Linked DNA regions of Caenorhabditis elegans. The protein of the gene in region 1 interacts with the protein of each later gene in a pairwise test. Each region holds a gene or a part of one and is shown on either strand. Other genes may lie near its edges.

Region 1 (4,788 bases):
AAACCAAAGCAAAGAAAAAACGGGTGCCGTTGAATATATCGGAAGCATCACGCCTTCAGATTAAATTTCATTTATTTTTTTTTGCTGCACATATATATTTTTCAATTTTTACGAAAAATCTATATCACAAGGTTGTCCCGTTTTCTCGTTCCATAAACAATTTATGATTGGAAAAAAAAACATTTCCAGTCGCAGGTTTTCTAGATACCTGCTGCAATTTATTCGTATCACTTACTCCGTTTGAAACAAATACTTTTTTCTAGGAAATTTTGTAATCAAGGGTTCAAATTCTACAATTGCTGATAATAAAAATATTTGCATATCTATTTTTTTCTGAAAAGTTTTGAAATAATTGTTTTTTGATTAAAAAAAACGATCGGAATATTCAAAGCTCCTTTTTGGAAGAATTTCTGCTTGTCTTTTACATCAAAAGTATAAATTTTCCTGAAAATTGTACCCAAAATTGAAAATTTTTCAGAATCCGTAAATATTGTTTTTGTTAAAATCCATTTGTCCAAGGTCACAACTTGGTAAGTATCTCTTCTTCTTTCTTTCTCTCTAATCATGTCTTTTCTCGTGTTCTATTCCAATTCATTCTTTTCCGTGTGACACTTCCAAAGAGTCTCTCTCTCTCTTCAATTTCCGTAAGGACGACGTCTTCATCCATAAACAACTTTTCACTTTTCCTCACGTCGCCGGCCCGTTTATGACCGCATCGTGCGTCCACCATTTTCACCCATTTTCCCCTAATTTCCTTTCATTTCAAAATGACCCAAGCATTGTCTCAAGGCTCCCTCTCACTCTCTTTTGGTCATTTTTATAAAACAAGTAAAAGCAATAGTGAGCCAACAGCACCAATTTCCTGCTCTTCACGCATTTTGTATCCATGAGCCATTTTGTTTCGGCGCACAACGAGCTGTGCACTTCTTATAGTCTTCTTTCCAATGGCTTCTTCTATTTTTCTTCCATTTCATTTTTGCGGACAACATCCACTAGGAAATGCATTCCCGCGCACTGCTGCCGATATATATGTACACAATTCAAACACCGGCCACCCAATATGTTTGCATTTTACAAGTCCAATCTGTTCGGTTACCTTTTTTCTTCTTTGCTTCACACCCACACAATTTCGGTTCTCATTCAAAATACTTATCTAGCTGACAGACAGTTTTTGGTTTTTCACAATTGATAGTGTAGCCATGGTATCTGACTATAAGTTTTGAAATCTTTTAAATTTTAGACGCGACAAATATTACCGTCTTATGGTGCTAAAATGTCCAAATGCCAAAGTTATATTTTTTGTTTTAATTTTCGTAGATACGAGTTCATATTTTGTTATATTTAAATTATATTTGTTCCAACATCCCAGGTGTTGCAGTACTGTTTTAAACTTCTCATTGTCAGAAAGTCCAAGTTTTCGAAAATTAACCTAAATTCATTATTATTCAAAAATCTAAAAATTCATTTTTGTCATTTTGGATAATTATATATGTACCAAGACAATTTTTTTAAAATTAGATTTAAAGTGCACCAAGAGCACTGACCTTTTTACTTTACTCGCAGCAATTTCTGAAACAGCTGCAATTTGTACCAGGTGCATCTTTCCCCAGCTTTTTTGTCCGGCTATCGTCCAGCTGCCATTTTTAAGATTCTCCTTCGAACACTTTGATTTCATTCCCTTTCAACTCCAGATGGTACTTGTTTTCAAGATTCCCAGTTTTTTTGTTTTCCATTTTCCCCCATTTCAACTACTTTTCTCCGGCATCTTATAATCTTCATGTGATCATCGTGTAATTATACGCTTATTTTCTTTTTATTTTCCAACTTTCACTTCTAAAATACTATTCAATACTCAGCTTAATGATTCGCAGAATGCCGTCGAATATTCGAGAATCTGATGCATCTTGTCTTGAGATGATACGATCAATTATACGATCAACAGCAGATGATAATTCAAAATGGGTCGAGATTTTTGTGGATTTTGAAAATGCACAACCAACAGATGAAGAAAGGGAAATATATAATATGGCTGAAGAAGTATTAAATGATTGTGATTTAGTACTTGCTGATGTATCAAGTTATGGAAATGGTACGTTAGATTTTTATTTTTTAGTAGACTTGTAACATCAATTTTCAGGTTGCTATGCAGAAAGAAATCAATTAAAAAATGACAGTGATACTCAAGCTTTAAAAGTTTTAATGACAAAGCTTGAACCATTTGTTGCCAGAACATGTTCCTACTATGAACATGTTGCAAAAATTGAAAAAATCGTACCAATAATTCTATGGGAATTATCATCTGGCCCATTACCTCTCGAAGAACAACTTGCAAATAAACAATCAATTGCCAAACAGTTTGCACGATTAATTGGATTTGTATTGGACTTTGATGTCGTAAAAGTATGAATTCCACTTTTCCAATTAAAGAAAAAAATTTAATTTCAGATGAGAACCGCCCAGATAACAAATGATTACAGTTATTACCGACGAGCAAAACATATTGTTTATCAGGATTTTGAGTAAGTATTTAATTTATTTGAAACAATCTAATATAATTTTAAATTTGTAGAGACCAAGGAGTTCCCGAATTACCACAAGTTCAAATGTTTCTTTGTGAAGGAAATCCAATGTTAAAAGCACTTTGTAATGGTGTAGATTCGTACATGCAGACACATCAAAGCTTGCCAATTAACAATACAACTGATGTTTTTGTAACAATTATCAAGTGAGTTTTCTATAAATTAAACTGAAAAACATACTTTTGGAATATATCGTAAACTCCATCCGCAATTTATGGAACACAAGCAAGAAAATGGAAATCTTTTAAATATCGTGATTAAATAATTTTTAGTGTTATGAAAAGTTTCAGTCAACGTTTTGGAAATCTGACAAATCTTTCAAAAATACTTCCAAAATTATGAATTGATCTTCTTTTTCACTGCAAATGAAACATTAACTTTTTTTGGAAAGTTCTTGGTCATTTTTGCACTTTAATAGTGATTTTCAACTACTTTTTTCACTGATCAGTCATGAGTTACGATATGATGAGTTACGGTAAAATAAAATTGTATTAAAATTTTCAGCGTTTGCCGATTCATGTTAGCAAATGACGAATGTCTGGCACGACTGACAGATTCATCGAAACATCTTTGCTGTCGAGTGATGACTGGCCTTGTAATATTATTCGATCACGTAGATCAAAATGGTGCATTCGTGTCAAACTCATCAATTGATATGAGAGATGTTGTCAGGTTGATCAAACTAAATACCACTCCTGAACAGGTAAGCGTTTTTCATATTTAGAGTTTTCGTGTAGTAGAGCGAAAATTGCTTATATCGTTTTCCAAACATTATGGGGACGCAGAAAAATGAAATGAAGGGGCAAGCTCGCTCCAACGCCAAACTATGAGTCTCGTTAGGAATTGACAGCATTAATTCATACAATTTGAAGTTGTTTTTAATGATTTTTGTTTCAAAATTATTATTTTAAAAATGCATGTGACAATGAAAATCGAATTTTTTTTTCGTTTATAAATTTTAATTCATCAATTTCGGACTGAAATTAATTTAAAAGAATAGCGGAAAGCATTTAAAGCAGACGAAAAATGTTTGAACATGTTCGAATTTCTAGTTTTCTGCGAATACCTAACGAGACCCAACAGTTTGTCCGTAAAGCGCGATTGCAAACGCGCTTTCAAAATGAGCATTTTTCTGCGCTTCCATAATAAAAATTAGAATAAAATTGAGCAACCCATATTAATTGTTTTATTTTCAGTCTGATTGTCTACTTGCTGGTCTTCGTTTCACAACAAAACATTATAATGATTCAAGTACTCCAAAATCTCTTCGTCATTTGATTGAAGTGAAATAATTTCATTTTTTGTCAATTTGTTCATTAATTCTAGTCATCCTTGCCTCTATTTTATGTTCTCTTATCGTTTCTAGTTGAAGCCCATTTCCTCATACACGGTGATTATGTTCCTCTCCTCGTCAAACAGTACTTTTTGTCAGTGATAATAATTATTTTTCGTTCCAATTCACCCACTCATTAATTATTTTTCTCAATGCCTTATGGTTCCGGTTCTTCTTTTTCTACAACACCCACTTGTATACTTTTCAAGATCTTTTATAAACATCTTAATTTTTTATATCACACCTTTATTGTTTTGGATCGCAAATATATAACAACAATATGTAGAAAAATTAAAATACAGAGTTGTTCTGGAGAAAGGAGGAGGGAGACACAAAACGTAGTGGATGAGAAAACAGTTTAAAATGGGAAATGGATGTGTGAAGGCAGAAAAGCACAAAAAAAAGGAAAGAAGAAAAACAAACTGGTCGGTATTTTTGAGCAGCAAATGAAGAAACAAGCGACTCGGGATGTAGTTGGTTGTGCTATACAACACCTATTATATAATTATAAAAAGAACCATGGGAAAGGAGAAGGCGCATTACGTAACGGTGTATCCGGACTATAAACACGTTTTGGGATAAAAAAGAAAATAAAAACGACGACGAAAATGTTAAAGAGGAGGTGTCATTGAAAAGAATGATAGTTAATTTGGATGAACTTTTAAAAATTTTCGAGGGGATTATTCGATAAAAATTCGAAAACAGATGAGAAACTATAAACTGCCCTGCTTATCGAAATTCTATACGAAACAATTAAAAAATTCTGGAATCATGCTCATCGAGATTCTACTGGATAAGTTACAGGAGACGAATTGAAGAAAATCATCTTCTATGATGCTGTCAAAAATAACAGCAACCGCTTCTCGTTTGGCATTT
Region 2 (6,199 bases), on another chromosome or scaffold:
CAAAAATAAATGGTTGAGGCTGAGAGACTACAAACTACAAAATCATCTGAGCCTCAACCAAATTTTATTGGATTAATACACGTAAAAGCTCGATTATATCTATAATTTTTAACGGTAAAACTGCGAAATATTAAAAAAAATTCGATTAAAATTTCGATAAATGCCGGAAATTCTGCGAAAATCTATCAAAAACTTAATTTTCATGCAAAAATAAATGATTGAGGCTGTGGCTACAAACTACAAAATCCTGTGAGCCTCAACCAAATTTTTTTTTGAATGAATTTAATTAAAAACTGGATTATATCTATATTTTCTGACGGTAAAACTGCAAAGTATTTTTTAAAAAATGCGCTTAAAATTTCGATAAATTCAGGCAAATCTATTAATTTTCATTCAAACAAATGGTTGAGGCTGTGGCTACAAACTACAAAATTTGCAACTTCGCCCCGTTGTACTTTTTGGGTCAACAAATGCAAAAGCCCAGCAATATTGGCAGCAGAATCAATAGACTTATGTCTCTCGTATCTCTCTCTCTCTCTCCTTCTGGTTGTCTGGTGACTCACTGCGTCTCTAACTATTTCAATGATATTTTCAAGCTTCCGATCATATGTTCACTTACTTTCATTTGTGTCAGACGACTGCACCGTACTTTTTTACTTTTTCACTCAAATTTCACCTAAAAACTTGCTTTGTTTGGCAAATTTCAATTAAAACCAGTTTTGGTGAGGCTCAGGCTAAGTTGTAGTTTGTAGTCACAGCCTCAACCATCATTTTCAAAGTTTTTATCATTTCTGAGCTTGATTAATTAAAAAAAAACAACTTTTTCTACAATTTTTTGGTGTTTTCGTCAAAAATCGTGTTTATTTTTGTTTTTTTTCGAAACAAAATTTGGTTGAGGCTCAGATGATTTTGTAGTTTGTAGTCTGTGAGCCTCAACCATTTTCTCGCGCAATTTTTTTTACGAAAGTGTTGTAATTTTTTGTCTCGAAAAGCGAAATATTCAATTTTTATTCAATTTTCGAATTAAGATTTTGAAAAATTCAAAATTTTCGGATGTTTCTTGTGAAATTTCCGAATTTTCGGCATGTTTTTTGAAAAATTTTGTTTTTTTTTGTGTTTTTTTTTCTGAAATTTTCAAGGAAATCTTAATTTCAGCTTTTTTTATTCAGCATCTGTGAAAAAACATCCAAAATAACGTTTTTTTTAATTAAAAAATTGGTTGAGGCTCAGAAATTTTGTAGTTTGTAGCCATAGCCTCAACCAACTCACATAACGCTTCTAGCCTCATTTTCTCTCATTTTTCTTCGTTTTTTTTCGCATTATGACCTCGATTTTTCGAAACAAAATTTGGGAGAGGCTCAGACGATTTTGTAGTTTGTAGTTTGGAGACTTAGCCTCAACCACCTATTTTTTGCATGAAAAATTGTGTCTCTTAATCGACTTTTCAATATTTCCTGCGTTTATATAGCTGAATTCACACAAAAATATCATTTTTCTTAAGTTTTTTGCTTTTACCTTCGGAAATTGTGGAAATAATCCCTTTTGTCAAATAAAGTTTGGTTGAGGCTCACAGGATTTTGTAGTTTGTAGTCTGAGCCTCAACCATACAAGTATATTTTCTTTGGTTTTTAGCAGCCAACACTACTCATTTCACTTAATTTAAGTTGTAAACGCCAAATTTTTTCAAATGAAATCTGGCTGAGGCTCAGATGATGTTGTAGTTTGTAGCCTCAGCCTCAATCATACAAACTATTTTTTTCTTTGATTCTGAGCAGCCAAAACGACGTATTTCACTTTATTTTAGTTGTAAAAGTCAGATGTTTTTTCGAATAAAATCTGGTTGAGGCTCAGATGATTTTGTAGTTTGTAGTCTCTCAGCCTCAACCAATATCGATTTTGTTGGATTTTCTCTAATTTTTCTCGATTTTCTCTCTATTTTCACTGTTTCCTTTATATTTCCTCTATTAAATACCACTTTTCCAGAACCATGGCATCAATAGAAATGCACTCATTTACACGTGACATGCAGCCTCTAATGGAAGAATCTGCCAACAATTTCACCGAAGAAAAAGTGAACACGGCCTTTGGAGCTATCAAAGTGTCGATTTACGGAGACCGTAACGATCCGAAAAAGGTTCCGATGGTCACTTTTCATGATCTTGGGCTTGATTGTGAGCTTTTAGCAGAAAAATTGAATTAAAATCGTACATTTTGCAGCGGAAAGCAATTTCCAAAACTTTTTCCAATTCGTGTCGATCGCCGAATTCGCCGACAAATTCTGCATCTACAATGTGAATGCTCCGGGACAGGAAATGGATGCTCAGCCGCTTCCGGAAAAGTATAATTTCTCGAAAATTCTTGCCTTTTTCCATGTTTTCACACAATTTTTGGAAAAAAAAATCAATCTGCTGATTTGGTTGAGGCTCAGAGACTACAAACTACAAAAATCCCACAGCCTCACCCAAATTGAAATCTTTTGAAATTAGACTATTTTTTTCTTAAAATTAGCAGTTTTTGTGTAAATTCCCCATTTTTAACACAATTTTGGGAAAAATTTAAAAAAAAAACCAAAACTTTTTTAAAAATAAAATGACTAGAAAATTCAAAAAAACGTTAGAAAAATTCAATAAAAAAAATTTTAACGTTTTTCTCCCGACTTTCCCCGAAAATTTCTAAAAATTCCTTTAAAAAACGTATTTTTATCGAAATTTTCAATATTTGCGTTGGTTGAGGCTCAGAGACTACAAACTACAATAATCCCACAGCCTCACCCAAATTGAAATCTTTTGAAATTAGACTTTTTTTTCTTAAAATTAGCAGTTTTTGTGTAAATTCCCCAGTTTTAACACAATTTTTGGAAAAATTTTTAAAAAAACCCAAAACCTTGATTTGGTTGAGGCTCAGAGACTACAAACTACAGAAATCTAACGAGTTTTTTAAAGTTTTATTTTCTGGTTTTTCAAATTTTTTAAGCTAAAAAGTATACCAAAATGTTTCAAAAACGTTATAAAAACTCAAATTTATAGAAATTTTCAGACGATATTTATTATTTTTATGGATTTTTTCTTTAATTTAAACCGACAACAATTCGAAAAAGTTTAAAAATTTCCCAAAAACGTTAGAAAAATTCAAAATTTAAACGTTTTTCTCACGATTTTTCTCCGAAAATTTCCAAAAATTCCTTTAAAAAACGTATTTTTATCGAAATTTTCAATATTTGTGTTGGTTGAGGCCCAGGGACTACAAACTACACAATCTGTAAGCCTCACCAAAAAATGTCACATTCTTGGTTGAGGCTCGCACACTACAAACTACAAAATGTTTAGCCTCACCAAATTTTTCTCCACGTGGAATTCAGTAGACTTCCCAAAATTTTGACCTTTTTCTTTCTTTGAATTTTCACGTATTTAGAAACTCTATTTATAACTGAAAATTAGATAATCAAATAAAATTATCTGGTTGAGGCTCACACACACACTACAAACTACAAACTTTCTGAGCCTCAACCAATTTTCTAATGTGAAAAAGCGTTATTTTAGACGTTTTTTCATAGATTCAGAAGAAAAAAAGATGAAATTAAGATTTTCTCCGAGAATTCAAAAGTTTTTTTTCCAAATTTTCATTACAGTTTCACCTACCCAACAATGGACGGAATCGCAAAAACGATCGAATCAGTCGCCGATCACTTCAAACTCAATCAGTTCATCGGATTTGGCGTGGGCGTTGGTGCAAACGTACTTCTAAGATACGCAGCTCAAAACCAGAACCGCGTCATCGCTCTCGTCCTCGTCAATTGCTGTTCTGGAAAGTCGGGATGGGTCGAGTGGGGATATGAGAAATGGAATACATCGTATCTTCGTAAAGTTGGCATGACAAAATTCACTGTGGATTATCTGATGTGGCATCATTTTGGCAGAAATTATGATCGTTGCAGTCCGGATATCGTTCGTCAGTATCGTGTCTTCTTCCAGCACCTTCCGAATCCGAATAGCCTCGCCGAATTCATTGAATCCTACATTCAACGGACCCCACTCCCTATCTCACGTGACGGAACCACCGGTGTTCAGCTTAAAGTCCCTGTGCTCCAGCTCGTCGGAGCCGGAAGCGCTCACGTTGAGGATACGGTAGAGGTGAATACGAAGTTGGACCCGGCACACGCCGATTGGATTAAGATATCCGATTCGTGTGGTCTTGTGCTTGACGATCGACCGGACGCTGTGACGGAGAGCATGATGCTCTTTTTGCAGGGATTGGGATATTTTCCGACGCTTAATGTGATGAAGATGACGAAAAAGATGCAGGAGACGCAGAATGGAGGCTTTGCTGCCGTTGCTAGCAGTGCTAATGAATGTTGATTGTATTTTCTCTTTTTTAGGGGAAATTTGACTGAAAATTTGAATTAAAAAAAAAAAAGAAAAATGCCAAAGAGTTCCGATGGGGTGAGGCTGAGCCAGAATTGTAGTTTGTAGTTTCTGAGCCTCACCCAAATTTTGAAGCGATTTTCGTGGAAAATACATTTATTTTGGTCGAATCCAAATATTTTTTTTGCGGAAAAATCGAATTTTTCAATTTTCAAACTTTTGTTTTCTAAAAGTCATGTTTTTTGAATAAAAAATCGAAAAATCGACCAAAAACTGCGAAAACCATCCACTGATTTGGTTGAGGCTCAGAGACTACAAACTACAAATATTCCACAGCCTCAACCAAGGCTTTTCGTTTAAAAACTCGAATTTTCAGTAGATTTTTCCCGATTTTCATCTACTTTTCCCCAAATTTCAAATGTATTTTCACCATTCTATCCTAAATTTTAAAGAAAAATGCCAAAAAATTCCAATTGAGTGAGGCTGAGCCAGAATTGTAATTTGTAGTTTCTGAGCCTCACCCAAATTTTGAAACACTTTTCGTGGAAAATTCGTTAATTTTAGACGACTTTTTATTTTTTTTTTGCTGAAAAATCGAAATTGTAGCATTTTTCATAGAATTTTTCTATATTCAAGCTTTTCATGTGGAAAAATCTGAAAATTATCAGATTTCTATGAAATATTTCTTTCATGAAATTTCGTCGAATTTACACATTATTTTTCGAAAATGCTAGCTTTTTCCCAGATTTTAGACAATTTTCGCGAGAAAAATCGACTAAAAACTACGAAAACCATAGCTAAAACCATCCACTGATTTGGTTGAGGCTCAGAGACTACAAACTACAAAAATTCCACAGCCTCACTCAACAATTTTTCGCTTAAAAACTCGAATTTTCAGTCGATTTTTCCCGATTTTCATCTACTTTTCCCCAAATTTAAAATGTATTTTCTCAATTTTTGTCCTCATTCTACACCTTTCTTTCGAAAATTCCGCTACTTCTGTCTCTCCCCGCTCTCTCTACCGCATGTGTGATCACCATTCTTTCTCTTTAGCTTTATTTCGTAGAAGCAGCAACGCCATATAATAATTAAAAATCGTCGTTATTTTTCTTGAAATTCTCTACGCATTTTACCCCATTTTTTCGTGTTTTATCTCAATACGATTCCTCTGCAATGCCTTTTTTTGCGTTTCCTTTCAATAAAATGAGATTTTTATTTGATTTATATTACTTCATTTTCAGATTTTTGATTTCAGTACTAAAATTCCTCGAATATACTTTAAAATTAGCTATTTATTCTGGTTTTAAACGGGAAATTCCCTTCATTTCCCCCTCGCGGCCACGCGCGTTTTCCAAGGCCACCGGCCGTGTAGTCCTCTCGGATAACTTCGAATTTAGACATTTCCGCAGTATTTTGCTAAAAAAACCGAGTTTCAGACGGAAATTGAGCATTTTTAATGGATAATCCGGAGAGTACGGGTGACGTTTCGTGGTTTGAGCTATTCGTCGACCCAACATGCATCTCAAAGTCGCTTTTGGACCCGGAAAAGAGAAAACGTAGGGAAAAATGCTCGTTTATGCCTGAAAATTCATGCTTTTCCATTGCAGAACTCCCACGACTATGTATGCAATTCACGGATAAAGGATTCCTCGCCGAACGGGAAAAAGATAAAGGAAAATTGGCTGTCGAGGAGCTGATGCTCTTCGAGAGAAAGGCGGCAAGTATGAGATTGTGTGCGATGGCCACGTTTGCCGCGTTGGATTATGATATAGAGTTTATTATTGATAAGTGAGTACTTGATTGAGGTGAAAAAACGAAGAAAAATGAATGAAAATGAG

What was found.
Region 2: the proteins of R07G3.8 (region 1) and ndrr-1 interact in a two-hybrid assay, tested with the Caenorhabditis elegans proteins (one large-scale study listed by BioGRID).

What each region holds. Positions count from the first base shown.
Region 1 is NC_003280.10:7,617,597-7,622,384, reverse strand, and holds R07G3.8 (CYRIA/CYRIB Rac1 binding domain-containing protein), read left to right. Parts: upstream 1-1,871; 5' UTR 1,872-1,872; coding exon 1,873-2,089; intron 2,090-2,137; coding exon 2,138-2,400; intron 2,401-2,445; coding exon 2,446-2,519; intron 2,520-2,569; coding exon 2,570-2,725; intron 2,726-3,083; coding exon 3,084-3,282; intron 3,283-3,775; coding exon 3,776-3,871; 3' UTR 3,872-4,147; downstream 4,148-4,788.
Region 2 is NC_003279.8:13,469,970-13,476,168, reverse strand, and holds ndrr-1 (Protein NDRG3), read left to right. Parts: upstream 1-1,983; 5' UTR 1,984-1,987; coding exon 1,988-2,171; intron 2,172-2,217; coding exon 2,218-2,338; intron 2,339-3,628; coding exon 3,629-4,355; 3' UTR 4,356-5,577; downstream 5,578-6,199. Other genes in the region: ints-8 (INTegrator complex Subunit homolog), read left to right, coding at 5,818-5,917, 5,969-6,149.